Linked DNA regions of Notamacropus eugenii. The protein of the gene in region 2 purifies or fractionates together with the protein of the main gene of each other region. This does not show direct contact. Links are inferred from orthologs where the notes say so. Each region holds a gene or a part of one and is shown on either strand. Other genes may lie near its edges.

Region 1 (7,270 bases), on a different chromosome or scaffold from region 2:
TAATCCCAGATATCAGCATAGGGCTTAAACATAGTAGGTGTGCTATAAGCATGTGCTGTTTGCTGAGCTAGCTAGCTACAGGCAAATAGATCATGTCAGAAAAAGTCAAAATATTTTTTAGTGTAACCTTAAATAAACATGACTAACAACTCGAAAAGAGATAACTGTTTTATATTAGAAAGTAGACAATATTTTAAAGAAATGATTTATTTTTATAATATTCCAGTTACATCAGAAAGTAGATAATGATTTGGTTACTGTATTTAACAAAATTATCTTGTGAAAAAGGTTGTGAAGTCACTGGGAGGTGAATGCTATAAAGGAGTGGGGAGGTGAAATGGGAGAAGAGAATGCTCATTTAACCTCTCTGGGGCTCAGCTTCCTTAACTAAGGTAGCTGACTTTAGATTTTCCCTAAAGTCCCTTCCAAAGCTAAATTGTATAATCCTATTAAAACAACTTCTACCACCAATATTTAACTTGTTTTATTTCTGTCAAATGAATAAAAATGTTGAGGAATATGCACAAAATATGGGTCAGGAAGAAAAAATAACAGAGGCTAAAGACTTGTGTCTCAGAAGCTTAAAATCTTTATTTCATCAATACTTTATTCTAGAAATGAATCAATTGAATAATACTACCGAAAATACATATAATTGATTATATTTTAATAGATCTGAAAAGATTCACTATGGATGTGGTAAAGTCAGCCTTGAATCAGTTATCTCACTATAGTCAGACCATTAACTTGTCATACAATTTTTAAAAACTCAAATCTGAAGTATCTGAACAAGTAATTGATCATGAAAAATGAGTAATTGACAGGAAAAATGACAGGCACCAATTTTAATAATTTACACATTAGTTTAACTAGTGTAGATCAGTCACCATAACACGAAGAACCAAAAAGCCTAAAAAGCAACTTAATCAACAAAAACTTGATTTCTTTGCCAAGTGAACAGAGATAGGCAGCCAAAGACAATACCAGTTTAGAATACACTTATTTGCAAAATCCTTCCCAAAAATCACAAGCTCATAGAAGTAGAGCTAGAAGGAATGTTGATAGTCATCTAGTCCTATTCCTTCATTTTACAAATGAGAACAGTGAGGCGCAGAGCGATAGGATGGCTTCCCCAAGGTCATAAAAAGGCTATGATTATAAGAAATACTATTTTATAAAGTTTGAGAAAGTAAGTGGAGTAAAATCAGCTTTTAAAAAGTTTGGCAAGGGAATCAACTAATAAGCAAAGTGAGTTAACTCATGGGCATTTTAAAAAATTTTTTAAATTTTTCATTCTTATGAAAATAGGAAGACAACAGAAGAAAAATAGAAAATATCTGCAAAATATTTTATGACATTTTTTCACCTTCAAGAACAATCCCAGGTGGTCTGACAGAGGAGGCAGAAATGGCACCAAACAGAAAAAAAGCTTGGAAAAGCAGCCAGATTGGACCACATATACATAAAATGAAATCTGTGCTGAAGCTGCATAATTAGGAGAGCATAAAAGAGTGAATCCAGAAGGAATAGGTACCAAAGACATGGTGATAATTTCATCTATACAAAAGCTCCATGAGATTCCTCAGGATCTGCATTGAGGGAAGGCTCAGTGGAGTCAGGAGGGAGCAGGCTTTTGCAATCACTGCTTTACCATGGGTTATGTTCTTTGTTTTCTAGCATTTGATGAAAGATATAGTGAAGACGAGATCCTCCTGGGCTTATTTGTCAAATATTAATTTTATTTTGATTTGGTAAAATAAAATGCCACCTTAAAAGAATTCTTCCCACAAAATAACTCCCACCCATACATCAAAATCATTCAAGTTTCCCTGAAAGATGTAACAGAAATAGCCTTATTCAACAATCACTATGACATTAAACATCAAGTAAGGCATAAAACAGGGTGATATACGCTCACCAAAAGTATTCAAGTATCACTGTAATGGAGAAGATTTGTATAAAGTCCAAATTTAAAAGAGATTCCCTGTGAATGGTGAAGTCTCATTTCCTATTTGCTGGTGACATGGTGCTATTTGAATCAAGTCTTCGAAGCACTGCAGATCCTCCTGGAAGAGATTCATAACCACTCAAACAAGTTTGGCCTGACCATGCACGTAGGAAAAACTAAGTCTATGAATAACATCTACTGTCCAAATTTTGACATATGGTTAGATGGCCAACCTACAGAGCTTATCCATCAGTGTGTATGTATATGCATACGTGTGTTATGTATACATATGTATGTGGATATGTACGTATATATGACAGACAGTACAAATGGATAATGAATGAGTTGGCCTCATAATTAAACAAGAGGAGGAAAGGAAACTGGATGTCTTTGAAAAATTGCCAAGTTCCTTCTGTGACCCAAACTTCTCCCAGAAACAAAGATCTATGTTTTAATACTAACATTCTACTAGTGTTCTTACATAGCCAAGGCATGAAGCAGAAAAATCTCCAAAGAAATGAAAATTCATATCACATAAACAGCAAAAATGAGGTATATGGGCAGGAGGTTGAGCCACCTCCAAAGAAAATTTCAAAAAAGAAAAGGTGCAAAAAATATTGGGGAAATGTTTGATAAAAAGAGAAAATGGGCTACTCATGTAGCAACTACCAATGGCAGGTCAAGAGCCCCCGGGGGGGAGGGGGGGGTTAGGGTGAAGGGAGGAAACACACTGCCTAGGTACAGGAACCCCAAAGGCTAAAGAGATAGTTGAGAACAACCTCCCCACCAGCCCCTCATCACTGCAAAAAGCAGCAAATGCTGATTCAGCCCAGCTGGGAAAGGAAAGGATGAAAGCCCAAAGTCCCTGGGGTAACTACTGAGCCCTCCAAGGCTACTTCGCTTAAGGTCCAGGCTGGTGAACATGGAATCACTCCAGGTGAAGGGAGACCAGGGCAACTCTGCAACTTGGACCAGAAAGTCAAAAAGTCAGATGTAGGTGGAAAAAAGGGCTGAAATTCCCAAATTTTTAAAAAGAGAAAAGCTAAAAACAAAACAAAAAAAAACCCAAGAGTACAAATAGATAAATCCAGAGAGAAGATTCTAAAATTAAAAGGAATGTAAGTACGAAGTCCTAAAAAAGTATATAAACATTACAAGAAAAAGGAACCAATGTTTGATTAAATATAGAGAGCATGCATGGATTTCAAGAATTCTTCAACAGAAAAATGAAATCCATTAGAAAAAAAATGTCATTTAATATAGCCAAAAATGTGTTAATGCAGAAATTAGCTCATTTCTCTTTTTTTTAATGAATACACAATGGAGAGTTTTTCCAAAGAAGGAAAAGAGAGATTAATATATTTAGAATACAAAAATTCTTAAATGGGGGAACATCTTGGGGGGAAAAAATAGCAAAAGGTGAAAATGTTAAAAGAACAAACAATCTGTACATTAGTCAAAGCCATTAACCTTAAATATAGATATGCACAGAGACAACTTAAGAATCACAATCTGAAAACATGACAAATCAAAAGACCTGACCACCATCAAATATTAATTAAAAATTTTAAATAAAATCCTTGCAAAAAAGAATAACAATTTATCCAAGAAATTATCCCCTATATATTTTATTTATACCAGGGATATTACGATGGCTCATCATAAGAAAACAATATAATTAATCAAATTTTTAAAAAAAATTTGAAAATCATATTATATCAATAACTACAGATAAAGCCTGCGACAAATTATAGCACTTACTTATAATAAAAAACCCTACGAAGAATAAGTATAAAATATGATTTAAAGTATTTATCTAGAACCAAAAGCTAGCATTATTTACCATATATACAAAAGCTTCTCAATAAATATAAAAGCAAAGCAAGGATGTTCCCTTTACATGGTGTTATTTGATGAAGTTCTAGAAAGTTTCCAACAAAGAAAGAAAGTAACAGCATAAAGATAGCCAAAAAGGACAAAATTACTTTCATTTGCTGATGCCATGACAATCTACTTTAAAAAACATTAGGGAATCAGCAGAGAAATTAATGTAGATAATTAACAGCTTCAATAAGTAGGCTACAAAATAAACCCACAAAAATCAACAATATTTCTATATAGTAATGACAAAATCCACGGCAAGAATAAACCCCTTTCAAAATAACTATGAAAGGTATAAGATATCTTAGAGTTACAGTCAATATTTGTGTAAAATGAATAAATGAGAAAGCATTTATTAAGTATTGTGAAGCACTGTGTGGAGGACTAGGGATACGATTACAAAATCAACTCTATAGAGTTCAAAACTATTTCAAGAAAAAACAAATAACAGATATTTGCTGCTCATGGTTGGGCTTTGCCAATATAATAAGAATGACAATACTACATTAGAAAGTAGTAACTGTCAAAATCAATACTCGTTCAAGTTGATCAACAGAAAAGACTAGCCAAGGAAGAATCAGAGAAGTATATAACCTCAATAAACCTGAAAATAGAATTTACCTAGGTAAGTCTTCCCTGTTTGATATTAAGTACTGGGGAACATGGAAAACAGTTTGGAAGAAATTAGATTTAGACCAGTGTCTTAAGTGAGATAACATATACACAGCCATTAGAACTTTAAAAGCACTACTGTCATCTCATACCAGTGACATCAAAGTCAAATAGAAACAACTACACATAAGGATCCCAGTAGGTGCATACTGGCTTAGAAAACTACATATTAACATTAACTGTTTTACTACATTTTTATTCATTTTGCAAAATATTTCCCAATGACATTTTAATCTGGTTCAGGCCTCCCACATGGACCACATATTTGACACCTCTGTCTTATACCAATAATAAATTCAAAATTGATGACCCAAATGTTAAAGATAATTTTACTAAAAATTTAGATTATAAGTAGATCAGGTACCTTTCACAGCTGTCTAAAGAATAATTTCTTAGCAAATAAAGGATACATGATTCAAAAAAGATAAAACTGATAATTTCAGTTACATGAAATTGAAAAGTGTTTCCATGAACAAAATCAATAGAACTAGAATAAAAATAAAAGAAATGATGGGTTAGGGAGCAAAGAATCTCTGAGAAGTGTTTAAAAGCAAAACATATAAACAACTAAGGGAACATATAAAACCACAAGTCATTCTCCAATAAATATGTGGTTAAAAAACAAAAATACGCAATCTTCAAAAAAATTTTAAAACATCAACAACCATGCCAAAAAAAAAAAAACTGCCCCAAGTTAATATTAAAAAGGAAATGCAAATCAAAAGAACTCAGGGGTTTCAGCAAACTGGCAAAAATGACAAAAGATGGGCATTTATTAAGAGCACTATGAAATAATTCAACCAATCTAGAAACACTATGGCATTATGCAGAGAGAGTGACGAAAATGCTCATTCTCTGACTCAAGAGATTTTACTGCCAGAAATATGCCCCCCCACAAAGAGGTTAAAGACAAAAGGAAAGATCCCCATATGCACCAAAATATTTATAGTGGTCATTTTTGTACTAGCAAAGAACTGAAACCAAAGCAGATACCTGTCATTTGGGAATGACTAAACAAAGGGTGGTACTTTAATACAACATAATATAGTGTTATAAGAAAAAAAGGAAACAGAGACTGATGTACGGTAAGTAGAACAAAGAAAACAATACACATAATGCTTCCAAAAATATAAATGGGAAAACACAACGTAGGGCCCACCTACTCTGGGGTTCCTGCATGGTGATCATAACAATTCTGCCTCTTCATTACCTGGATCCTTCCCCCCACCTTGGGGCTGCTTAATTAGCCCATCAGAACCTAAAAGCCCAGTTTCCACCCTCCCACCCCCACCGCTATGATCAATCAATAATATCCCCCAAACTCCTGCTGGGGGATGGGGCTGATTTGGTCATCAGGCCTTGGATATGCCTAATCCCTCCACAAATAGGGAAAAGTGAGGGCTGCCCAGCCCCCATGTAGTCCTAAGTACATCCCTTTGACCAAGGCATCTCTTCTTACTGAGTTGTTGCCTCTTGCATGTGCCCCCTCTTCCATAGGTCTCAGTGCTTCATGAGTGCCTTCTGAGAATTCCCCCTGACATACTGGTCATACTGTTTTTGGTTCTGGCTGTAGTGGGGGCGGCTGAGGTGGTGACAGCAGGAGCAGCCACAAGAAGGAGGCCAATGGACTAAGAGCGCACAATACTAACGACAACCTCAACGCAAAATTCAGAGAGAGAAAGGTCAGTTTGCAGCGAACATTGAGCCCAGAGAAGGTGCTAAGAGAACACAAGGAAAATCGCAGTCTCTGGGAGGCCCAGCCCCTGTCCCCCACCCATGAAATGATGTACTGCCTTTGCAGGACTCTCAGCACTTCTAAAATGATGGGCTGCCGTCTGAATGGCCCCAGAGCACCTGACTCCCACCTCAGCTCAGGCTCTGCTGAAGCAGCCTCCTGATTGGTCTTCCTGCCTCAAGTCTCACAGATGGGACCTTGTTACTCTCCTTCTCAAACAATCAGAGTCCCTGCCTCCCACTTCCTTTAGGATAAAATAATGAATTGTTTAACCTTAAAAACCCTTCACATCCTGACCCCAGCCTCACTGGACCTCAAGCCCCCTCATATTCCACTTCCCAAGCCTGGGCCATTGCTCTTCCTGGTACTCACTGCCAGAATGTCAGCCTTCTTCACCTCTACGTCAGGGAGGCTCTCTCAGTCTTCCTTTAAGACAGAGCTCAAACACTACTTTCTCTATGAAGTCTTTCCTCATTCCCCCCACTAAACAGCAGCAGTACCCTCCCCTTCCAGACTACCCTGTATTTAACTACTTTGTATTTCTTGACATTATCTGTATCTTTATCCTATAAATACTTATACAACTACTTTGTGTTGGATTTGGAATATAGGCTCTTTTCTAGGCCAGCCCCTAAGTTTCTGTCATCAGCCCAAGGCACATGTCAGACACCTAGCAGGTGCTCCATAAATTCCTGTTGATTGTCAACAAAGAAAAAAGGAAGGTTAGGTGTGGGAATTAAAGGAGAGAAGAATGTCAAGTGACATTGAAAATGCTCAGAGGAGAGCAGACAGGGACAAAGACAAGCAGGGCACTTATTTTGTTCTCAGATTACGTCCAGTATCAACTTAAAAAAACTTCATGTAACAGAAGTTCAGTTTCATACACAATACTCTGTTATTTGTATACAAAAATATTTATGCTTATGAAGCATAAAAAGGAAACTTTCAAAACGAATGTAATAAAACAAAAACCTCACCTAATAATACCCAGCTGTCCCATGTAAAATTTTAAAAAATAAAAAGAATCTGCTATT
Region 2 (7,748 bases):
AGGGGTCATTAGTGAAAAAAGCTTAAGAAGTCCTAGTATAATAAATACCTATATAGTCTATACAGCCTAGACTTCACTTGGGAAATGATATAGTGTTTTTAAAGATCTTTCTTGAAACAAAGTCCCATCATTTAACGGCAAAATTTTTCTGGTAATGTTACAGTTATATAGCAAGGGATACTAATTAGTGAAGAATTAAAATCAATAAAGAGTTTACATGTACGCATGAGAAACCTGCAATATATTACCAATGAAAAACTGATATTATTCATATGGGAAACAAAAGGAGGAATTCTGTTTCCATAGGATGAAGACTCCTCCCAGCTTTGAGTAACAGCAGAATGTAAGTCAGAGATGACTAATTCTAATCAGAGTTGTGACCTTGCAGAACCTGGCTTCTGATCAGGTAAAAGTTCAGAAGCTTGTGTGTATGCTTAATGAGCTGTTTGAAAGGGAACCTATCAGGGAGAAAAATATGAAATAGGATATTTAGGAGGCTTCATCTCATCTTCATCTTCATCAATGGAGAGCAAGGTGGGAAATTCGAACTGGGAACAGCATAAAAAGGCTTGCATTATTCTTGCATTATGAACAAATGTAGCAGTCCATTAGGAACTACCTGTTCATTCAGGAGGGAATAAACATAAAAATTAATAAAAGTTTTCCAAATTTCACAATAAGTATTGATCTTTGTTTAAAGTGAGTATATTTCTAACACTCAAATAAATATATGGCTACCAAAATAAGTACACATATACTGAAAGCAAAAAATACTGGTACTCAAACAATATTCAAGTGAGCTAGAGAAAGACCCCTGGCAGAGATTCACAGAATTGCAAGGGATGAGAAGTCATGGATGGATTGTGATTTTTATCAATGAAGGGGTTGAAGACCATCTAAGAATTAAAATATAGGTATTTTATTTCCACTACTAGAATTAAAATTCCTTAAGCGCAAGGAATTTATCATATATCATTGTATCTCCCTCAGTGCTATATGCAATGTGTATATATGAATGAACCAAAATATGTCTTCACAATTTAATCACCTGTGGAAAATATTGCCAAGTGTTTCACTTAATAAAGATTTTAGTTTTACACAATTAGCCCACAGAATGGGTAGAAGTAGTCCCTTATTTATTAATGGGGCACAGATCAAAAATTAATGGATAAGAAGGCTGTTCAGAACCCCAAATGTAATTTATAAATGCTAGCTAAGATTCCTAGACCAGAAAACAAAAGGCTACTTAAACCACAATGCAACTGAACTATGGTGCTAGTAAAACTAGTCTGAATTCTGGTTCCTGAAAGCAGCAGCCACGTGGTACAAAACTGAGGAACAACAAGACTCTCTCCCTACGTTTCAGGTACAGAGCAGGCCCTACGCAAGCTTTTTCTATGCCTCTTTCTGTATTTTCTATATCTTTAACATATTATCTATATTTTCCCACATATTGTCTATATCTCTTTCTCCCCTATTCCTCCTAGATCACAAACAAGGTTCTCATACTATCTAAATCCTCCACTTACATCATCAGCCAGCATGCTGATGTGATAACTGTCACTACATTTCCTGTAATCATTTTCAAAATAAAAAATTTTAAAACTAACTTAACTGCACTTTTCTTAATTATCATGAGCAGCATCTATACTGTGTTATTTATAATTATCAGTGATAAAAGAGGCATCTGGCAAAAACTGCAAACAAATAATATAAATCTAATGAGTTCTGGTTAAGAACCTTATGACAGTTTTCAAAGAGTTATACTGGCAATACTTAAAACTAAAGTAATTTTTTCATTGCCAAAAGTATAACATTTTTATAACATACTTCTGAACCACATTTCTTTTGTTTGTTTTGTCCTAAGATTCTGCAAGAGATACACATTCCACAGAGACATTTTAAGAAAAGTTTAACACGTTACTACATTGGAAAAGTTGTTCTGCCTATGAAAACATTGAGCCATTAGGATGAAAGGATACTGTCAAGACACCTAGCAGAAAGTTATGATGCTAAATCAGACAATCATGATAACAATAACAGAACTCTATCATGTGTAACTTGACCTATATTTGGTTTTGTGATGAGTTTTAAGTATTAGCCAAGCAGTATCTTTCACTCAGGAAAGCTTTACAGGACATTAGGAAGAGTTGTACTATATCAAACCAGGAGAACAGATGCGTTTTCAATTTTCAGAATATACAGTGTATTCATACAAATATTTATTAAGTAACAGTAAAATAAAAGAATGAAAAACTATATTCAATCATATCAGACAGGTAACAACATCTAATATCTACCAACATTTTATGAACAAAAAAATGGGGAAAAAATACATAATTTATAACATTTCACAGAAAAAAGCCTGTAAATCTATTTTAATACTACATTTATTCCAAACAAAAATCCTATCCTGATTCAAAAGAAGTGCTATGGCTTTAAATGTCTAGCAGTTTAAAATCAACTCTAGGCTGAAATCACAACATCCATTAGTGTGTTGCACAGTTCAGAGCAAGCAAGTGGTTGTCAGTGCAGCCAGTAAATCACCTGATCCTATTACAAAATCAATTACTGCAGCGCGTTCCCATTGCTACACAACCCGATGATGACAAAATGATATTGGATAGCTACTGCAAGGTCAAGAAAACTGCTAAGAACATCCTTAATTTACCTTTTATCATTAGTTCCAAATGATAATGTATCTGATTTAACTATATATTTTGATTTAAAATAAATCTACAGTTACCTTTGGTTGACTGGGGCATTCGATGGACAGTCTCTGTAACTGGTCTGATGTATGGCTGCAAGACAGCAGATCGGAGCAGCAGGTCGAACGGCCCAGCCTCTTCATGAAAGAAGAAATAATGCTGCAGCCACAGCCACACATTGACTTGCTCATCAGATGAGTTTTCTCCTTAAGAAATCAGAACTGGTACTGCCCCATATATACTCAAAATTGGCTGACTGCCTCATTCTGCAGCTTCCTAGCTGAAATAAACACTGCTAAACAGAAAAAACAACAGTGATCTTCCAGATACCAGCTACAATCTCATCACCAAGAAAACTCAAGAAAAGCAGTCTCCCACAGTCCTCTTTTAAAGGTAAGTTGCTTAAAAATTCCTAAATGTTTTATAGTGGAATTTAAGTACTTAATAAAAGAGTAAACTTATGATAAGATGTCCTAAAATTTCACTAACCACTGCTTCTGTCCTCCATCACTTTAAATGTGTTTGATGACTCCTTCAGCTCAGCCTATCGAACCTGTTCCCTCTGTAAATGCACACAATTTCACGACCAACAGGAACGAGCCTCACCCCTCCCTTGCCATGTACACACTGTTCGAGAACAGCTCAATACCTGGAAAAGAACTGCTTGCTGCATTGCTTACAAAAATAACAGGCAGTGAATTATTGGATGGATTCTTTAAACTTACCAATCAGAGCTGCTGACCTTTTATGGCTCTATACTTCCAGAGACCTGCCAGATACTTGACTGTTTTCAGAGTGATAAACTAATTTTACTACTAGGCTCAACATTAATTTACTCCATCTTTTTAACCCTATCACAACTTAAAACATAGGAATAAAAAGAAAATCATATACATCTAAGAAATGTGGCCAATATAAAACTACGCATGGGGGAGGAAGAATTGGCAAACAATTATTTTGAATATTCATATATTTTAAACTACAGAAGAACTGTGAAAGAAATCTATAAAATATCAATGCAAATAATATGTGAAATGAACTGCAAAAGGAAGCAAAAGTGAGAAAACTATTTAAAGGAAAAAAACACGCATAGCTATAGCTGGGCAGATAGTAATTACTATCAAACAGAAACAAGAGTTCTAGGCACTAAATATCACTCTTGGTAAAACTAAATTTTCTGCCATAACTTTATCTAAATAGTCAAAATGAAGTGAAAAAATTAGTTCTAGATAATTTAACAGAATAGGAACATTACATATACCCTTCTACAACCAAGAAGAAAAAAACTTTTAACGTATTCTTACTTCGACAGTAATGAAAAATTAAAAAAAAATTTTCCGCCATCTACTCAGGACACATTACAGTTTCCAGCATCCAAGGGTAACAAACTACTCTGCACATTTATAAAGTAATTTTATTTCAAGTAAGTTTCACTTATTGGAACATCTCCTGGCTATCGACTGCATATTTTATCAGCAAATTTCTCTTTAGATATAGTTTTAAATTATAAGTAGAGCTGCTTAATTTAAGAGATATAAAGAAAAAGAGTCTCATGTTCTACTGCACTGAAAGAAAAGTTCCTTATTTGTTGATCTCTCCCCTCCTTGGCTCAACACTAAAACGAGCTAGTACTGCTTCTCCCTTCACCTTGTGTTGCCCTTTTCAAATTCATGTTTCTGTTAAATCAATTTCTAGCAATACCTAAATAGAGGCATGAACTCCAAATTAATTTTTTTAAGATTTTTTTTCTACATAAAGACAAGGGATACAAACAAACAAAATAATGCAGTAACCTTTTACTCGCCTGCTGGAGGTACTGTCTGCTGCATAGAATTTTAAATCCTGATCTGCAGATGCAATTGAGCTGGTATTGCCAAGGACTCTGCTTTTTCTGTGCTGCTTCTACATGGCTATTCATCGAAAGAGCATATTATGTGGCAAAATTAAAGTACTATCTGCTGAAATTTTTCATAACATTGGGGCGGAGGTGGGAACTTCTAAAACCCTGTTACAGATTGTCCTGTCACATTTTCAGATGCCTGTCAGACATCAGAAAAGGTCGCATTGATGATATGCTTTTAACAAACATGTAGGAAGATGACTTGGAGAGGGAATCCAAAATTATTATACTGTTAATGTGCAAAGACATTACTAGTAAAACTAGGTAAAATATATGTTGCAAAAACTCTTTCCAGAAGTACAATAGCTATAATAATTAGTTTTTAGATTTATCAGTAAGTAAATCCTATTTTACTAATAGGACTGGTTAGAAGATAATTGTTTCTGGTATATTGCAGGTATGTCTGCATAAAGCTTCTCATGCATACTAATATTAACAAAACTATGAACATTTTTAGCTACTCAATTTAAACACTTTCAGAATGAAAACATAAAGCAACAACATAATTAGAAAATCAGAAGCATTAAGTACTTGTGGACTATCCAGATTTTCAAACCCTAGAGTATGCTATAATAGGGATGAAATGGGAACAGTGAAGGCTATTATTCATTATTTATGATTTTTCCCTTTATGTCAGCTAATTTAATGTACTATTGATTCTCAAGATGCATATAGATGGGGCAAGAGGCAAACCAACAGGATCATATATACAAATGAAAAAGACTATCACAAAAATCAGTGAAAGATTATTTAAAAAAATAGTAAAGCTACTGCTAAAATTTCAGTTAAATCTGTGAAACAAAAGTAAATGAATGCCAATGCTTCAATTACCATACAATTAAACTATATAATTATTCGCCAATAAAATATAAAAATTACTGGATGTTTAAACTTATGCCATTATTTTTTAAGCCTTGGGGGAAAACACAAAAATAGGACATTTAAAGAGAATAATACTAGTTTGATTTTACCTTCTTTAGAGAAAAACGAAAATACTTCAATAACTGGGGAGAAGTGTTGAGAAATACGTAAATAACAGGCTGATAATGGCTCATCTGCAACAAAGCAAATAATAATCAAGCCTAAACTGATCTATTAGATCAGACCAGACTTATGTTTCCCTTATGTTTTAAAATACAATTTATAATTTCATTTCCACTAAAGAGGAGGAAAATCCTCCCACGTTTGTACTTTCCTAACAGATATTTAAGCTGTAATCAACTTTACAAAAGTTATGCTGTGTTGCCAAAAGATGACATATTCAGTCAAACTGAACAAGATAGAAATCCTCATCGCTGTTTTATCTGATGTATACCGTTTAAAGAAAGACTAGTCATCTTTTTTTTTAATCTAAAGGTAAGATCCTTTTATCATAAATTAAACTGTATATGTTATTATGCCCTTAAATTTAACAATTCTCTCATTCATTTTAAATACTCAATATATTTTCAGTAGTTTTTCTCTTCTATGTTAAGTGTGTGTGCGTGTGTGTGTATGTGTATATACGTACAGATAAATAAAAGCACCATCAAGCAGCAAATAACTGTTCTGAAAAATTCAATTCTGACTTCCAAAAATCAAAGTGAAAAATCACTCTGGCTCTACAAAAATTCTGGAAAAAAAAATTAACTGAGAAATAAAGAAAAATTCAATAAAACACTAAAAGTTCTTTTGGAAAACACAAAAGAAATACAAAATTATGCCCCATAAGAAAAATAGAATTCTTTATGTTCTTATAAATGCTGATACATTTAAACATTAAGTAAGTCTCAAAAGAAATATGAACTTTATATTAGAAGTTGCAAAGATCCTTTATCTTCCTCCTTTCCCCCTCAGGTTCCCTACTTCCTTGGTACATTTTACATTAACATGCCAAGTTTTAATTTTTTTTGCTACAAATTCTCAGATTAAATCTGTGGGATGCAGTCCACCTAAACAAGCTCTCTACACATGGCCAAATTTTAATTATTCATTTGAAAATACTTATTAATTATCTTTTATTCATAAGATACCTTACTGGTCCAAGGGGCTTATAAAGAGGTAGACTATGGTGAGCATATAAGGTAATAACTGATTTTGATGCATGACTTATAGAATACTTTTCATTACTTTATAGTCACACCCTATACATAACCCCTATGCTCAAGAAAATTTAGAATGGAGGTCAGAAGGGGGAAGACAAAAACACGTTGAAAGTTAAGTAGTTAATTAATTCTTTAATTGTGCTTTCTTAGCTACTCTCTTATTTCATTTTCACAAGGGCACTATGAGGTGGGTAGGGATGCTATAATCCCTTATATTTTATAGTTGATGAAACAGGTTCTGTGAAGTTGCTACCTGAAAATAATCACACAGCTGGTAAGTGGCAAAAGCACAAGTCAAATCCAGGTCTTCTTGTCTTAAAGTATAATGCTTTCTTCACTAGATCACATTCTCTTCTCAGTAATGATACAGGACAAAAATATTAAAGGTGTCAAGAAATAGTAGAGAACTAAGTCCCAAATAAGTGATACAGAGAGTTTTATAATTTCAGGAGAGAGATTATTATATGAATTTGTGAATGCAGATGGTATTTGAGCTAGGCTTTGAGGAAAAAGGCAAGATCTAAGTTGACAATAGGATAATGAAGGGATGGCACTATATTTACAGGAATACATATAGCATGTGCAAGAAACAGGGAGTATACTAGACTAGCTGGAGTTGTGGGTTGATATATGGAAGTAGTAGAAGAGAGGTCAAACTGTAGAAGATCAGGAATGAAAAGTTAAGGATTTTAGACTTTATTTGGCAAAGAGGAGTCAAAGAAGCTTTTGAGCTAAGGAGTGATATAAATATTTTAGGAAAATTAATCTTGCAGCAGTGTACAATGTAAATGGGAGAGTGAAACAAGATACCAATTAGGAAAAAAATGCAATAATCCAAAGAGTGGAATGATGGGAATATGAATTAGGGTAGAAGCAGTATAAACAGGAAGATAAAGTGACAAGCTTAAGACAAAAATAAATATAATATGGCTCTTTTGATTATGGGAAACAAAATAGAAAAAAGAATGAAATAATAAACCATTATAACTGATGAATTTATCCATATCAATGCTGGAATAAGAACATAAATAATGTAATTCATATTTAAGTTTAAAT
Region 3 (7,700 bases), on a different chromosome or scaffold from region 2:
CTCCCCCTGGTCCCTCTGCAGCCAACAGCAGTGTCCGACTCAGCAACTGCTGTACTACACTGGCCTGCAATGCTCCCAGCTGCAGCTCACCCACTCGAGCTGCCTTGGGACCACGTGGAGCTGGAGGCATCTTCTCCACGGTCTGATCATCCTCTTCCTCCTGATCCTGTGCCTCCCTGTTTGGGGGCCCAAATGTTGATTCCGGGGCCTCTGCCTCATAGATTGTGGACAAGCCATCTGGGGGCCCAGCCATAGGGGACCAGGGCAGTGGCTCACCTAGAGGAAGGAAGGACAGGATTGAGACCTCCCCTCTTTAAAAAGCTGCCCTCTTCCTCCAGGCCCTTTCCCTCTCCTCCCTGGCTGGGGTTACCTGGGACCGCATGGGCAAGTCGAGGGGAGGTGGTACAGGGGCTCCGTGTGGGGACCCCCGGCCGGCTCCAGACAGCAGGATGGCAGGCAGCAAGTTCGAGGTCAGGATCAGGTGGGGGCGAAGCTGGGGCTCCTATCTCGGGACCACTGTCATAGGCTCGCAGCTCCTCCGGTGTACTTGTGGCACTGCTGCTGTGGCCAGCAAGGTCCGGGCCACTCAGAGTGCTGGAAGGGCTTCTGGACAGCTCCCCACCCAAGGTTCCCAAGGACAAGACAGGCTCGGGAAGGGACAGCTCCCCAGGAGGCTCAGTCTGTGAGTGGGGTTGGGTCAGCACAGGTGCTCTAGCCAGGGGAGAGGGAGAGCGTGGCACAAGAGGTGTGTCCAGGGGAGAGGGAGGAGCCTGAAGAGGAGGCGTGGCTAGTGGAGAGGGAGGAGGGGGCAAAACTAGAGGAATAGGAGGGGGCTGCAAAGGGCGAGTATCCAAAGATGGTGCCTGAGAAGGCAAGATCAGATGAAAGGGAGGGGCCTGAAGAGGGGGTGTGACCAGGGGTGGGGAAGGCGGGACCAAGTGAAAGGATGGAGTTTGTTGAGAGAGTGTGGCTATGGGAGAAGGAAGGACCTGCAGAGGGGGTGAGGCTGGAGGAAAGGGAGTAGCTTGAGGAGGGGGTGAGGCCAAAGGGAAAAGAGAGGCCTGAAGAGGAGGTGTGGCCAAGGGAGGAGAGGGTGGGAACAAGTGAGAGGGTGGGTCTGAAGGAATGGGAGGGGTCTGTAGAGGGGGTGTGGCTAAAATGGAGAGCCTCTGAGAAAGCCCCACCCTCTCCTGGCGAGGAGGCGTGGCTAAGGGCAAAGGTGGCTCCTGTAAAGGGGATGTGGTTAAGGGAAAGCCCTGTAGAAGAGGAGTGGCCTGAGGGGGGGAGAGTGGGGCCAAGGGAGAGGGTGGAGCCTGAATAAGGGGTGTGGCCAGGAGAGAGTCAGCCCTTTGTTCAGAGGGTGAAAGAGGAGTCAGGTCCTGAAGAGTGGAAGTGGTTGAAGGAATGAGAATAGGCTGGATGGGTGTGGCCACAGGAGAGGGAGGGGTCTGTGGAGGAGGTGTGGCTGGAGATGTGGCCTGGAGGGAGGGCGGGTCTAAGGGAGAAGAAGGTGGGACCTGTTGAGGGTCTGTGGTCAGAAAGGGAGGAGCCAGAGGAAGCGATGTGACTGAAGGAGAAGGATGGATCAGTAGAGGACTGGAAGCTAAAGAAGATGGAATATGCTGAGGGGATGGGGACAGAGAGGGACTGGCTTGTGGAAGGGGTGTGAGCAAGAAAGGGGAAGTGGTTTGTATAGTGGGTGTGGCTAAGGGAGAGGATGGGGCCTGCTGAGGGGATGTGGACAGAGAGGGATTGGCTTGTGGAGAGGGTGTGGGCAAGGAAGGGGGAGTGGCTTGTATAGGAGATGTGGCTAAGGGAGAAGGTGGGGTCTCCTGGGGGGATGTGGACAGAGAGGGATTGGCTTGTGGAAGGGGTGTGGGCAAGGAAGGGGGAGTGGCTTGTATAGGAGGTGTGGCTAAGGGAGAGGGTGGGGTCTCCTGGGGGGATGTGGACAGAGAGGGATTGGCTTGTGGAAGGGGTGTGGGCAAGGAAGGGGGAGTGGCTTGTATAGGAGGTGTGGCTAAGGGAGAGGGTGGGGCCTTCTGAGGGGATGTGGACAGAGAGGGATTGACTTGTGGAGGGGGTGTAGCTTGTGTGGCTAAGGGAGAGGGTGGGGCCTGCTGGGGGGATGTGGACAGAGAGGGATTAATTTGTGGAGGGGGTATAGCTTGTATAGGGGGTGTGGCTAAGGGAGAGGGTGGGGCCTGTTGGGGGGATGTGGACAGAGAGGGATTGGCTAGTGGAGAGGGTGTGGGCAAGGAAGGGGGTATAGCTTGTATAGTGGGTGTGGCTAAGGGAGAGGGTGGGGCCTTCTGAGGGGATGTGGACAGAGAGGGATTGACTTGTGGAGGGGGTGTGGTCAAGGAAGGGGGAGGAGCATGTTTAGGGGGTGTGGCTAAGGGTGGAGCCTGTTCTTTTCGGCTAGGCGGGGGTGTGGAGGGAAGGGAGGGACCCTTGGACCGAATTACTGGACAGGTTGAGGGCAGGGCCTGAAGAGAGGTCTGGGCCAATGAGGCCGCAGAAGTGTTGTCCTGGCGACGGGTGGGTCCAGGGAGGCGGGACTGAACACCAGAAAAACTTTCGCTGGACTTCCTCCTGACCACAGAGGCTGGGCTGGAGACAGGGTCCCCGGGGCTCTTGGAGGTTCTTCTGGGGGCTGTGGCTTTGGGTAGGGGAGAGGGCTGGGCCCTGGATTTGGGGGGAGCCCGCAGAGACCCTGGTTCGGGTCCTGAGGCTCCGGGCAGTCGTGACCCAGGGAGCCCAGCCTTTGAGACTTGGGCTCCCTGAGTTGGGCGAGCAGTATCTGAAAGAGATAGGACAAGAGAAAGGCCTCTGGGAAAGTCATTTTGCAAGACCCTAGGAGACCTTCCCCCTTTGCCTGCACCTAGTGGTTGTTTTTGGCTCCTCCCCAAATTGGAATGGGAGTGCGGGCGGTGTCAGCCCCAGCTCCTTCCCTGGTGCCCTTTCCCCACAAATCCCTTCACTGGGTACTCCTCACTGCTGACAGGCCACCATCCTCTGGCCCTGAGCCCCATGCCATCACTATCCCCCTGACCCTCCTACCTCTCCTGGCCTCTGCTGGGACCGAATTGTTCCGACCTGTGGGGTTGGAAGCTAGTGATGCCTTAGGCTTAGCTGCAGACTCTGCAGGGGTAGAGCGGACTTGCTTGGCTGGAATGGATACTTTGGAGCCCTGAAGCCCTGACCTTAGATGAGACAAGAAAGCCTGGGTCAGATAAGAAAAGCTAGCTTAGGTCCCCCAGAGTCTTTTAGGACCTGTCCCCTTCCCTAGAACAAGAGCTAATGGTTCATACACATTTGCATCTAAGGTTGTAAAATAAATCTGTTCCCTGTAATATACTCGCCCCTGAGAGGAGCCACACCTGGGAAGACAGCATATCTGGGGAGGGAGTTTTGTTAGGGAAGGGTCATAAATCAGGAGGGACCAATTTGGGCAGGGGATCATTGCCTGGGAAGGGGCCATGGGTGGGGAGGGTCCAACTCTGGAGTGGCCCTATCTGGGGACGGGTCGTTAGGGGAGAAGCTCACCAGAGAAGGATAATTGTTACTCCTAGTGTTCAGTCATACCTGAGTAGGTCCCTGTCTGGAAATGGGTCATACCTGCCCGAGGAGGGAGCAGTCTGGAGAGGGGACATTCTTGGGGAAGGGTCATTCCTGGAGGTTCGGCCAGCAGCACCTGGGACTGGTTCCGCTTTCCTCACCAAAGGCTGCCTGGGCACTACCGGGAGACACTCCAGGTCAGTTCAATCCTGACCTCCTCTGTCCTCCCATAACACCTTAAACACACCTTTGAAAGGGGATGGGGGGGGGGGGAAGAGGGAGACAGGGCATGGATGAGGGGAGGCCTTCCTCTAAGGCCAGGAGTCCTGCATTATCTGTCCTGGAGGGCACCTCAGGAAGCTTGAGCCAGCCAATCTGTTTTCCCCAAATTCCGCTCCCTTTATTCTCTGACATTTGGAGAAGAGAAATGAAGGCATAGTAAAGGGAGGGACCATCAAGGAGGAGCAGGGGTGGGGGAATAGGATTCAAGGTCACTGTTAGGTAGTAGGACCAAGAGTCAAGAGACAGGACAGGTTTAAGGTCCTAGAAGCAGCCTCAGGAATCGGAGCTGGCAAGAGACAAGACCTGGGGTCCCGTACCTGTGCTAGGAACGCTGTGGCCTGTCTTGCTGGTTCTGGGGGGCCCAGGTAGGGCTGTGGCTACCTTGAGGACGGGGGCTGCTCTTCCTGCCTGTTCCCCTGGAGATTTCTTTACCACAGCTCGAGGCTCAGCAGTGGTTCGTGGGGGCACTGTTCCTGATCTTTTAGGAGTCCCAAGAGGCCCTGGCACTGAGGAGCTAGGCAGACGGGGAGCCAGGGATCGACTCCCCCCAGCTTTGGCTTTAACTCCAGTATTCATCCTGCAACAAAGACAGAGGATGACACCTGCATCCCAATCTGTCTTGCAGCACCCAGACATACCAGTACCTTCCCCCACCCAGTCTCTTCTGCCTTTTCCAGCACCCAACTGTCCAATCCCTCAGTCCCAGCCCCCATGCTCCCCATACTTCTTTTGTATTCTGTTCCACTGGAGGAGGGAGCCAAATACCTGCCTCCCCCTCCAGCTGGGGCCAGCTCTCCTGTGTACATCCTATAGCAACCAGCCCCTTGGCACCGGGTTGAGGGAATTAGATGGCAGATGGGGACCCCTCCCCCTCCACCCCCCCCATATACAGCTTAGAGAGAGATTAGCACCATCTACCCCTCCCCCCGAAGAGCTAGCATAGTCCTGACGCCACCACCCAGGACCCAGGCATCCTATCCTCTGCCACCCAGCAGACCCAGTCATCCTTCCCCTGATTCCACACACAAACTCGAGATCTCTGCCACCCCCAATATCTGAGGGATAAAACAGAGAGCTTCTCCTCCCCAGTACAGGTGCTATTCCTGTCTCAGTGTTCAGCCTCGACACATCTGATCCCTAAGAAGACGAGGGAAAACTGAGGTTCCAGCTAGGCCTGAGAAAGGGGCGAGGGATCAGAAACCTATGCCTCATTTCGAGCAGATGGAGAGCTTAGCGAAAGGGGAGCCGCTCTGCTCCTGTCTCTCGCGCGAGTGGGGGCTACTGAGTCGGGGTGTGCTCCTGGGGGTGTCTGTCTAGCATCCCCCCACCCCACTCTCACATACACCTCGATTCCAGACACCTGCTGGCGAAAGGAGGGGATGAAGGGGGGCTGCCAGGAAGGAGTTAATGGAGACAAAGAGCCCAACGCTACGGTTGTGGTCCCCGCCTCTCGACCCCTCCCCCTCCACCTGCTCCGCTCGCCCCGCGCCCCCCAAGCCCATCTCTCAGTCACCTTCAGCCTCCAGCAGTTCCAACACCTGAGTCCCCGTGGGAGGGCCTGATCGGGCCGTAGGGCCTGGGCGCCGAACTGAGGGGAAGGGGGAGAAGAAGGAGGAAGCCAAGGAAGGGGAGGGGGCTGGGGGCGAGGAGACAACAGGCGAGCCCCGCCCCACCCCGCCCCCTGCCCCAGCTTTGGCTCGCTAGAGAGGGGCCGACGCAGGAGGGATAGGGACAGTGGCCCCTATTTACGTGGACGAGACCGAGGAAGAGATGGAGAAGGGAGCGGAGAGACACGCCAAGGGAAAGCGAGATGGGGGGAGGAGGGGAGGAGATGAGAAAAATAATTAAGAGATGCAGGCGAAAGGAGGTGACAGAAGGAAAGAGGGACGAATACTGAACGAGAGCGAAGCGGGAAGAAATAAAGTGGGGGAAGATGGAGCTGACAGAGACAGACAGAAACACAGGGAGAAAGCAGAAGGGAGACGGGATGAAAGAGGAGAGAGAGGAACAGTAGGACAGAAGCGGGAGCAAAGACCAAGGGGAGGACAAATCTCTGGGGGAGATTTTTTTAAGGGGGTGTTTCCATGGCAACTGCCTCCCGGAGTCCAGAAGGCGCATATGGGGAGTGGGAGGAAGGAGAATTTCCGCTGCCCCTCAAATGGCCTCCCCCCATTAGATTTCACCCACCTACCCCCATCAACCACATACACATACAACCACCACCACTACCCCCAAGCCCACCCCTACCCCTAGCCCCATTCTAGCCCTTTCCCTCTCTTCAACCTACCTGGCCTCTCCAAGTCCTCTAGGAAACTGACAGGCTAGGCTTTGGACAGGTTGGGGGTGGGACTAGTACCCCATTGGTCTATTTCCTTGTGGGCAGACCAATCATCATGGTGAGTATCCTTCCACATTTGGACTCTCTGATCTGTGCCTCCACCCCGGGCTTGGTAATGAGATGTTTGGTCCTGCCCAGACTCCTCCAGGGACCCAAGAACCAGGGCCTATCTCACCAAAAGACTCCACCTTCTAAAGAGACAAAAGGATGGTCCTACCCCTGAAGGAGGAAGGCACATGGGAGTGGGGGTTGGGGGAGAGACAGGATTCCCTGTGGAAGAGGAGGGGAGAGTGAGAGAGAGACTACTGTGTTGTTGTAGCAGAAGCACTTTGAGTTTGTCGTTGGAGGCTATAGGTTTGAAACAAGGCTTTACAACTTACAACTACGCAAACTGGAAAGGTACTTAAGCTCTCAGCTTCCCTAACTTCAAAATGGGAGGGGAGGCAGACTTTTTCTAAAGTCCCTTCTAATTCTGAATGTGTGTATGCGTGTGTATGTATGTATATGTATTGTTATTTAATAACTATAAGAAAGATAAGGGCCACAAAAGAAATATGAATGTAAGATTTGTGGGTGTATACTATCCAATAAATAAAAGACAGTTAAGTGTGGCATAGATCTGATCAGGGGCCTGGCCCACCTTTCTACAAGAGACACTTATTTTAGCCTTTGTTGGGAATAATATGATGATCATGGCTGGCCTCTGGTTTCTTCTCTTGCTCATCTACAAGAAGAGGATTGAGCAAGAATTATAACTATATATCACACATCAAATATCTGTAAGTCTAGGAGTGCAATGTTCAAAATAAAGGGTGCTGTCCCTAATTGTTCTCAAGAGGAAGGTAATAGCTGAAAATAGCCAGCCTAACTCTCCCAACCCCACTAAACTCTGGTTATGTAAAAGACCATCATGAATATTGTTTTGAATAAACCCATTTATCTAAGCAAAACAGTAAACAAAAGTCAGGGAAGTTATACAGATTCAGATAAACTGAAGAGTGGCCGATGGTAAAGCTGGAAGCAAACACCTCAGCTCAGCCAAAGAAGAAGGGACTGATCTCCCCCTGGAGAGTCCACTCTCAGCAGGTTCTAGGGTGGAAAGTGCAGGTTTTGAGGATGAGAGGCTGACTTCTCCCACATATCTGGCTCCAAGAAAGATTTCCAGACCTCATTTGAAAAGTCCTTGCCTTGTGTCTCCTGATCCGTCTCTCTCCAACTCTTTCTCCATGTCTCAGCCTTCTGCAGAGATCTGAGATCTCTGGGGAAATCAGGAGTCACATCTCCTAATACATCCAAAGCATATGAAGTAGAGCATAGTTCCAGAGCTAGTTTATAGGGCACCAAGTAAAAAAACAATGGGATTTTACAGAAGAAAGTGGTTACTCACATCTGGGATCATGAAGGAAGGCTCCTCCTTGGAATGGAAGATGGATTTTGAAGGATGGGAATAAAATTTCAGCAGGTGAAGTACTGGAAACTTTCCTTCAGAGGTGGGAGACTATAACGCACATTTGAAAGA
Region 4 (7,657 bases), on a different chromosome or scaffold from region 2:
AATGTTATAATAAACCAATCATGTTTCTATTACATTACATAAATAGGGACAGGGACTTGAAATTATTTCACTGGTACACTTATTATGTAAATATATTATTCAATTACAATAATATATTATTTTTAGAAATATGAACATGTTCGATTACAGCAACTGAGAATCAAAAAAAGTGAGATCATGATGTGTAGAACCGAGAACTAGCAGAAGAGAGCTTTCTTTGTACAGGAGAATGCTAGTCCATGACCTTGGTCAATAAATGTGTTTTTTAGTACTGTATTTATTGAGAAGCCAGACCCTCATGTCCTCCCTAAGGCAATTCAATGCCATTTGTTTTTTTTTTCTTTTTCTCCACAGTTTATTCTTATTCCCCTCAATTCCTGAAATTTACTTAGCACTGTAACCAGTGCCAATTCTTCTTTGATTGCTTTGAGTTTCCTCCTTCTATTTCTATGAGCAGCCTTTTCAGAACGTTAAGACAAGAGTCACGACTTATTCCCCAGTGAGTTTTTAAAAAATTGAGAAATGGAAGATGTTGAAAGTCTATTTATGAAAAAGGTCTATTTGTGTCAAAAGGTGCCTGATGACATTACAGCATTTCCTTTTTCCATATCATGTAATTTTCTTTTAACATAATATTTCTAAGGCTTCATGTATTCCTTTGCATTTGCTTCACATCATCAAATGAAAATGTGTCCCCTATAGGGAAATTTGCTCTTGTTTTGCGGAGGAAAGAAAACAAATTCAAAACAAAGTTTTGAAATGTCCCCTTGGGTGGGATTTATATACTTCGTATATCCAATTGTATGATAATCCATCTGAAATGTTGTAATGAAAATGAGGAAAGTATTTCTATGGAATATGGTGACTTGCTTTAGAAGTTACAGTTCTCGTGGTTTTTCTAAATGGCTGGCCCATGTGAAATTGGGATCATTATCACCCATAACCAAACAAAATGAACACAACAGAGCTGGGAAGGCAGAATTTATAAAGCTAAAAACTCAGAAGAAAAGCCCTTCTAGACTCAGATGTAAATGACTCAGTACTAGTTATTTAGCACTATTTGTCTTGCGTCCCATTGCTGTAGACTTTGGATATTTTATACAACAAATTTAGAAGCTACAGGACAGGTCTTGTGAAAAAGATCTGGTGGGTTTGGTGGACCGCATGTTCAAAATTGAGTATGACAGTATAAAGATAATCCTAATGCTCTCCTACGCTGACCTGAGAGGCCTAGTGTCTGGGAGACGTAAGGTGACGTTTGGGTGAGCAGAGTCCATCTGAAGGGGTGGGTGGGGCTGGGTTCTGAGAGCCACATCTTTCAAAAGGCACTTGGAGAAGCTGAGAAGTGGGGAAGAGGGGGGGACCAAGGTGTTAAACCAGGAGAAGTCTTAGGGGGGCACCTAAGGACAGCTTTTTTAAAGGAAACCTTTATTTAAGCATCTGGAGGGCTACCACATGAAAGAGGGCTTAGTTTTGCTCTGCTTGACCCAAGGGCAGTACTAGGAATAAGGAAGGGAAGTTGTAGAGAGGCAAACTTTGGCATAATGAAAGGAAATACTTCTCAACAATTAGAACTGTCCAAAGCGGCAATGGGTTAGCCTGGTGCTGGGCACTTAGAAAATGCTTGTGCACTAACTGGGTTGATTCAATAAGTAGTGAGTTTCTTCTCACTGGAGATGTTTAAGGCGAAGCTGGAAGGACCACTTGTTTGTTATTCCATGGAATAAATCCCTAGTAGGGTAGAGATTGGATTTGATGTCCTCTGAAGTTCTACCTCCTCCAGAACATGGATAGAATTTTCCAGATTTGTAGGAGCACAGTGAGTATGAAGCCCCTTCACGTGCAGAAAGAACAGGGGGTTACCAAGAAGTCAAGCACCCCATCTGCCATGTGAATGAACTCTGCCTGGGGATTTTTATGCCAACCTCACGTATATTAGTCTAGACCATTTTATTTTTACAAGTTAACAAAATATAATAGGGTAGGGATCTGAGTGGTGATTTCCTTCATGTAGGGAACTTCTGGATATAGGGGAGGGTAGCACCTTTTCTTCCGTTTATGGTCTTAGAGAGTTGCTTAGAACACTAAAGGAAACTGCAACTTGCACAAGGTTAAATGGCCAGTGGGAGCAAGGCAATCTGAACCCTGGTCTTCCTGATTCCACTCTCAGTATATAACACTGCAATAAAACAAAGAGAAGACAATTAAAAGACAAAATGAGAATTATCATTTCCTCCAGAAGGCCATACATGGAGCCTAGGAACTGAAAGAAGGACCCAAAAGAGCTCTCTAGACTTTTTTCATTAGCGCATTAATATGTTCATCAGATTCACTAATTATCACTTTAGAAAGCAAAGAGGGAGCCTGGCCCTGACGTGATGAGGTAGAGGGAGGGAGGTAAGTTAAGATCAACTGGGGCTTTGGGGGAGAAGGATTCGATTAAATTCCATTCAGGAATTATTCCTCAAGTTCTTACTATGTCCCAGGTACTGTACTATGTGCTGGGATTATTGACTGGGGCCAGTGACTAAGGAGAGAAGGGCCAAGTGCAGTATTCCTGTGGGGGCTCTTTGCTTCTGGGCCAGGGAATCGGGGAGTGAGCTCCTGATCTAGCTCTTTTGGTCTTCAGAGATTATAGTTTATTGTTACTACTGTAAAAACAGTGACACAGTACATAAAGTGCTGGAGAGAATTCTGGGAGGAATCAAGATAAAGATTAATTTCACACCAGTCACCATTTTGCCTAGGGCTGGGACAGTTTGGGACAGAACTTAGCATGCAGTGGGGAAAATAATTTGGTTCATTTCTACAATTTTGTTTAAAGCTACAATGAGAACTTGTTTTGCAGGTAGCTTTGACTATAATGTAAGATCCTTGAGGGTCCTGTCAAATCAGTTAGTACAGTAGCAGGGTGGAAAAGGCATTGGACTTGGGAGTGTAATGGTTCCTGATGAGGGGGTAGAATTAGATGATTTCAAAACTCCCTTCCAACTTTATTATTATGTAGCACCACAGAATCAGGTCCTATTTTTGCTACTTAATAGGTACCTTACCTTTGATGCATTATATACATTTCTTAGACCTTAGTTTCCTCATTTGTCAAATATGGGTCATAAAACCTAGACATCAATGTTTATGAACAAGCATTTATTTACTAAGATGTGTACACACATGTACGGGATTAAATCAGATGCACATATCTATATCTATATCTATATCTATATATATAATTTATATTAGGGGTTCTCAAACTTTTTGGTCTCAGAACCCCTTTATACTACACTTAAAAACTACTAAGGAGCCCCAAAAGAGCTTTTATTGATGCAGGTTATACCTATTAATTTCTTTTTTTAAACACAAGAGAAAATATTCTGCTTCATTATGCTTTCCAATTCCATAGTCCTTTCTCTGGATATGGATGGCATTTTGCCTCAAGAGTCCTTTGGGAATGTTTTAAGTCCTTGCATTGCTATGAAGGGCTAAGTCTATCAGACAAATTCCTTACACACTGGGGTTGTTACTGTGTACAATGTATATCTCTTAATTTCTGCTGGGTTAGAAATTAAAATGTTTTAATATTATATGAAAAGTTTTGCCCTCATGGACCCCCTGAAAGGAATCCCAATCCACACTTTTGACAACTAACTGCTGGTTTACATTATTTAGAGATTTAAGATTCACTAAGCACCTTCCTCACAACCCATTGAGGTTTTATGTACAAGGGAGGAAAGGGAGGCTCAGACTGGTGAAATGATCAGAGCTATAACTAGGGCAGGGCAATCGGACCTTTGCTTCAGGGCAATGACATTTAGAAGGTGCTGATTACACTGCAGTCTGCCACCAGCACAGAAAAAACTGAGGTTGACACTTTGTTAGCTAGAACAATTAGTTAAAACACAAACTATCAGATGGTCTGCTTTTCCTAGAGGTGCACACTACAGGATCTGTGGTTCTCTACTTCCCCTTCTTTCTCCAGAAGTAGCCTCAAGGAGCCTGGAATTTCTGCACTTCTCCTTGCTCCGCTGAATTTTTTTTTAAATTGATTTGATGACATCAGTAGGTGTAAAGACTGCTCTGAAAGTGACTAGCTGGTACCAGCGTCAGATTACGAAATCTGGGCTATATTCATTCACTTCATTATGTGAAAACACATAATAAAGGATGCCAATATACCATTAAAACAGCACTAGAAGGGTGGATTGTCTTCACCGTGTACTCAATACCCTATTGACTCCTAATAAAGTAGAATTACTGACACGGCTAATTTTAGCCTTTCAAGAATGCTTTAAAAATAAGCCAGGTTAGGGAGAGTGATAGAGGAAGGAATGAAGGAGGATGGTTAAGGATGACCGAAAGCTTCCAACCTGCGGAATAAAGGGGGAAAAATAGAAAAGCCTGGGGGGGAGGGTATCTGCCCAGCAGCGGGGGGGGGGGGAATCTGCCCAGCAGGAGGGCAGTATCTGCCCAGCAGGGGGGGGGGGGGCAGTTCACTTTAGTGAGAACGGCAGGGCTGGAGGGCTGCATCAGTGAAGACCGTGGAGGTGATTTGCTACATTGGCTGATTAGGGTAGATGACTCCCCTCAGTCCGAGTTTAATGACAGCACCAAGTTCGCCGTGGGGGAGGGGAGGCAGGGGCATTCCGGGAGTTATAAATGAGTCAGTCCAGCGCCACAGGCCGGACTGGTCTGAGCGAGTGCCCCTGCCGGGTGCCAGGCTGCCCCGGGACGCCAAGCTCTCGTGCGACGGCTCCGGGAAGGTGGGCACGCGAGCTCCGGGGGGCCAGGTAGGGCGCTTCTTTCTGCCTCCTCCCACCCCCCGTTACTTCCCCCCTTTTCTCTCGGTCTTCTTCCCACGCTAGGCACCGAGGGAGCGCTTATGCATAATCAATATTAATGGATGGATCGCATCCTCGGGAAGCCCGGAGAGTGTAGACAGCCGCGAGAGAAGGGGAAGAGTCTGCATCCCCTAGAAGGGAAGGGACGAGGCGTCACGCCCGGGCAAATGCCCCCGGGGGGGGCGGGGGGGGGAGGCAGGAATGGAAGACGCGTCGGACCACGCAGGGGCAGGGCAAGGCCGGAACGAGGCTAGGGGCGGGAGAGCCCGAGCCCGGGGTTCTTTCCCGCGTTCTGGCGAGCACGCGCACGCGCGCCGAAGACGTCGGGGGCGTTTGACCCTCCCCACCCCGAGAGCCACGAGGGTTTGTGGAAGTCGGCAAGGGGAGGGGGGGGAGAGCCCGCACGCGTGCCGGAAGCTGGCCCCGTTGCTAGGCGCCCGGCTCCAGGCCCGCCCCCTCCGCGTTCCCCGGGTGACCGCCGAAGGGGAGGGGGAGGGGTGACGGGCACTTACGTGCTGACGCTGATTGTATATGAGCGCGAGCGGCGGGCTCTCGGGTCTTTTTAGCGCCATCTGCTCGGGGCGCCGCCTCCTTCTCCTCCTCCTCCGCCTCCTTCGTCTCCTCCCGCCGCCGCCGCCCTGAGTCACAGCCTGCGCAGCTCCGGCCGCCTGGTTCCTGCAGCAGCCGCGGGTAACGGGAGCGGGCCGGGAGAGGAGGGAGCGCGCGGGGCTTCCAACGGCCGGCCGGCCCGAGGCGGGAGGGGCGTGGGGGATCCGGCGGGGCTTGCCCGCCCTGCCGGGGCCTGGTCTGCGCGCGAACGTGGGAGCGTCCGGGGCCTGGGTCTCGGCCGAGGCCGACCCCCAGCTTGAGGACCGCGGCCCGGGGCGGCGGCGAGGAACGTGAGCAGTGTGGGCCGCAGCCCCTGGAGAGGACCCCGGGCTGGGAGGGAGGGCCGGCGGGGAGCGGGGCGCCGCGCGTGGCTGCGGGTGGGGGCGAAGCCGAACACTTCTGGCGCCCACCACCCCCGCGGGAGAGCACGGCCGGGGGGGCGCTGCACCCTGCCGGCTCCGGGGGGCGGCGGCCAAGTTAGGGCCGGGGGCGAGGCGACGTTTGTCCGCCGCCCGCAACACGTGGTGGCCGCTGCATGGCCGCCGTCCGCCCCGGCCCCCTGCTGATCATCCCCCGGCATGGCCTTCCTCCTCCCATCCCCCTTCCCCTTTTTGATCATCCCGCCCCCCTTCCGATCATCCCCCACCTTTCCCTCCTGACTCCCTCTACCCCTCCCTTTACTTTCTCGTCAAGCAACCCTGAGCTAGTTGAAATCTTTGCCAAGAAAAAAACAGTAAACCTCCTTTTGGACCCTGAAATGTCTCCTCCTTGGGCCTTCTGATTAAACACCGGCTGACCCTCAGTGGTAGGTCCTAGGGAGGGTCTGAAATGATTTGCAAAAACTAGTAACAAATTTGGGGGGTTTGTCTGTCTCCTGTCCCAAGTCAAGGAATGTCCGGGGGAAGGGAATCCGTGGCCACTGGATAGAGGGCTGGACCTGTGTGATCCTGGCCCGGAGGTTTATAACTAATTCATCTCTCTGTCAAGTTGCAGAGAAGGTGCTTGCCTGGGAGTCTGTTACCAAGGTCAGCACCTGCCTGGGTCCCTCTGTGACTTGGGGGCTTGCATAGCCACTATGTCTCAGAGAAAGGACCTAGATCTTCTGGCTTTCCCAAGGCTGCTTCTCATTAATTAAAGAGCACTTTTTGCCTTTCCCGTTTAGGAACTGATTACCCAGACTGATGAAATAAAGTTAAAATTCTTATTCCTTTTCAGATTGTTTGTATCCATGTTGTGGCTAATTTCTCAATATGTTTAATTAGAATGACCAGTTCCCTTTGGGGAGGGCAGGGCAGGGTGAAACTTGACGTGTGATTTTTATTTTTTATTTATTTAGTATAGGGAGCTTCCTTTACTTTCTCTACCAATGTAGATCTATACCTTCTCAATAACTTAAAAGTCATAGAAGAGTTGTCTTGGGGCACTAAAAGGTTAAGTGGTTTATTTTGGCTTAGAAGTTGAACCTAGGTTTTTCCTGGCTCCTCTGCCAGCTCTGCTAGGCCACATTCACTTGATATCCCTGAAAAATTGGTTAGGGAATGCCAGCGCAGACTTTTTTTAACCTGGTCTTTGATAGGACTGATCTTAATACAAAAGAATACATTGCAGTTAGATTTGGTGTCATGAAAATCAAACTGAATTAACATTTCATCCATCAGAGAAGATTCTACTTCTAATAGATAAATGGATACATACACCACAACCTAGACTATACTGTATATGCTATATATGCATATGTGTAGGCAAGAAGCCTATGACTGGATTCTGAGGGAATCTAAATATTAGAAAAGTTTGGGGGCATTTTTTGTCATTACAAATGTGTAACTTCATTGCTGGGCCTACTGATTAAACTTTCTTCAGACCAACAGTTGTTTTTCTTGATTGCTTGATTTTTTTTTTGGCTGCTAGATGGTGTGTGTGGTAGATAGGAGGCTAGCCTTACTGTGAGGAGGAAGACCAGTGTTTTTAATCTTTGAGACACTAGTTATGTGACCCTAGTCACAAGTTAGCTCATGAGTCTTCCCACCTGTGTAAAATGAAGGGATTGGTCTTGATAGGTAGATCAAGATCCCTTCCAGCTATTTCTCTACAATATCTAACTTGTACTAAAAGTAACTCACAAAATACCATTTTTAGAGCATTCTGAACTGAATGAAGTAAACAAATTATTGTTTTCATGACAAGAACACCCACATAATTGTTAAACTTCAAAG

The links.
Region 1: the proteins of FBXW7 (region 2) and MED13L purify together in Homo sapiens (affinity purification with mass spectrometry; 4 studies listed by BioGRID, with this or other methods). This does not show direct contact. The link is inferred for Notamacropus eugenii from reciprocal best matches to the Homo sapiens genes FBXW7 and MED13L.
Region 3: the proteins of FBXW7 (region 2) and PRR36 purify together in Homo sapiens (affinity purification with mass spectrometry; 3 studies listed by BioGRID and IntAct, counting the BioPlex papers as one, with this or other methods). This does not show direct contact. The link is inferred for Notamacropus eugenii from reciprocal best matches to the Homo sapiens genes FBXW7 and PRR36.
Region 4: the proteins of FBXW7 (region 2) and NAP1L1 purify together in Homo sapiens (affinity purification with mass spectrometry, with the first as the bait; 3 studies listed by BioGRID). This does not show direct contact. The link is inferred for Notamacropus eugenii from reciprocal best matches to the Homo sapiens genes FBXW7 and NAP1L1.

Annotation. Positions count from the first base shown.
Region 1 is NC_092875.1:29,411,132-29,418,401, reverse strand, and holds the start of MED13L (mediator of RNA polymerase II transcription subunit 13-like), read right to left. Parts: upstream 3,007-7,270; 5' UTR 1-3,006. UniProt on the Homo sapiens protein: Component of the Mediator complex, a coactivator involved in the regulated transcription of nearly all RNA polymerase II-dependent genes.
Region 2 is NC_092877.1:150,480,792-150,488,539, forward strand, and holds the start of FBXW7 (F-box/WD repeat-containing protein 7), read right to left. Parts: upstream 3,001-7,748; 5' UTR 2,900-3,000; coding exon 2,747-2,899; intron 1-2,746. UniProt on the Homo sapiens protein: Substrate recognition component of a SCF (SKP1-CUL1-F-box protein) E3 ubiquitin-protein ligase complex which mediates the ubiquitination and subsequent proteasomal degradation of target proteins.
Region 3 is NC_092875.1:51,699,286-51,706,985, forward strand, and holds the start of PRR36 (proline-rich protein 36), read right to left. Parts: upstream 3,016-7,700; coding exon 2,999-3,015; intron 2,902-2,998; coding exon 371-2,901; intron 277-370; coding exon 1-276.
Region 4 is NC_092874.1:255,297,577-255,305,233, reverse strand, and holds the start of NAP1L1 (nucleosome assembly protein 1-like 1), read left to right. Parts: upstream 1-4,650; 5' UTR 4,651-4,784; intron 4,785-5,347; coding exon of another isoform or gene 5,348-6,003; intron 6,004-6,137; exon of another isoform or gene 6,138-6,249; intron 6,250-7,657. Other genes in the region: uncharacterized protein, read right to left, coding at 2,057-2,179, 5,348-6,003. UniProt on the Homo sapiens protein: Histone chaperone that plays a role in the nuclear import of H2A-H2B and nucleosome assembly.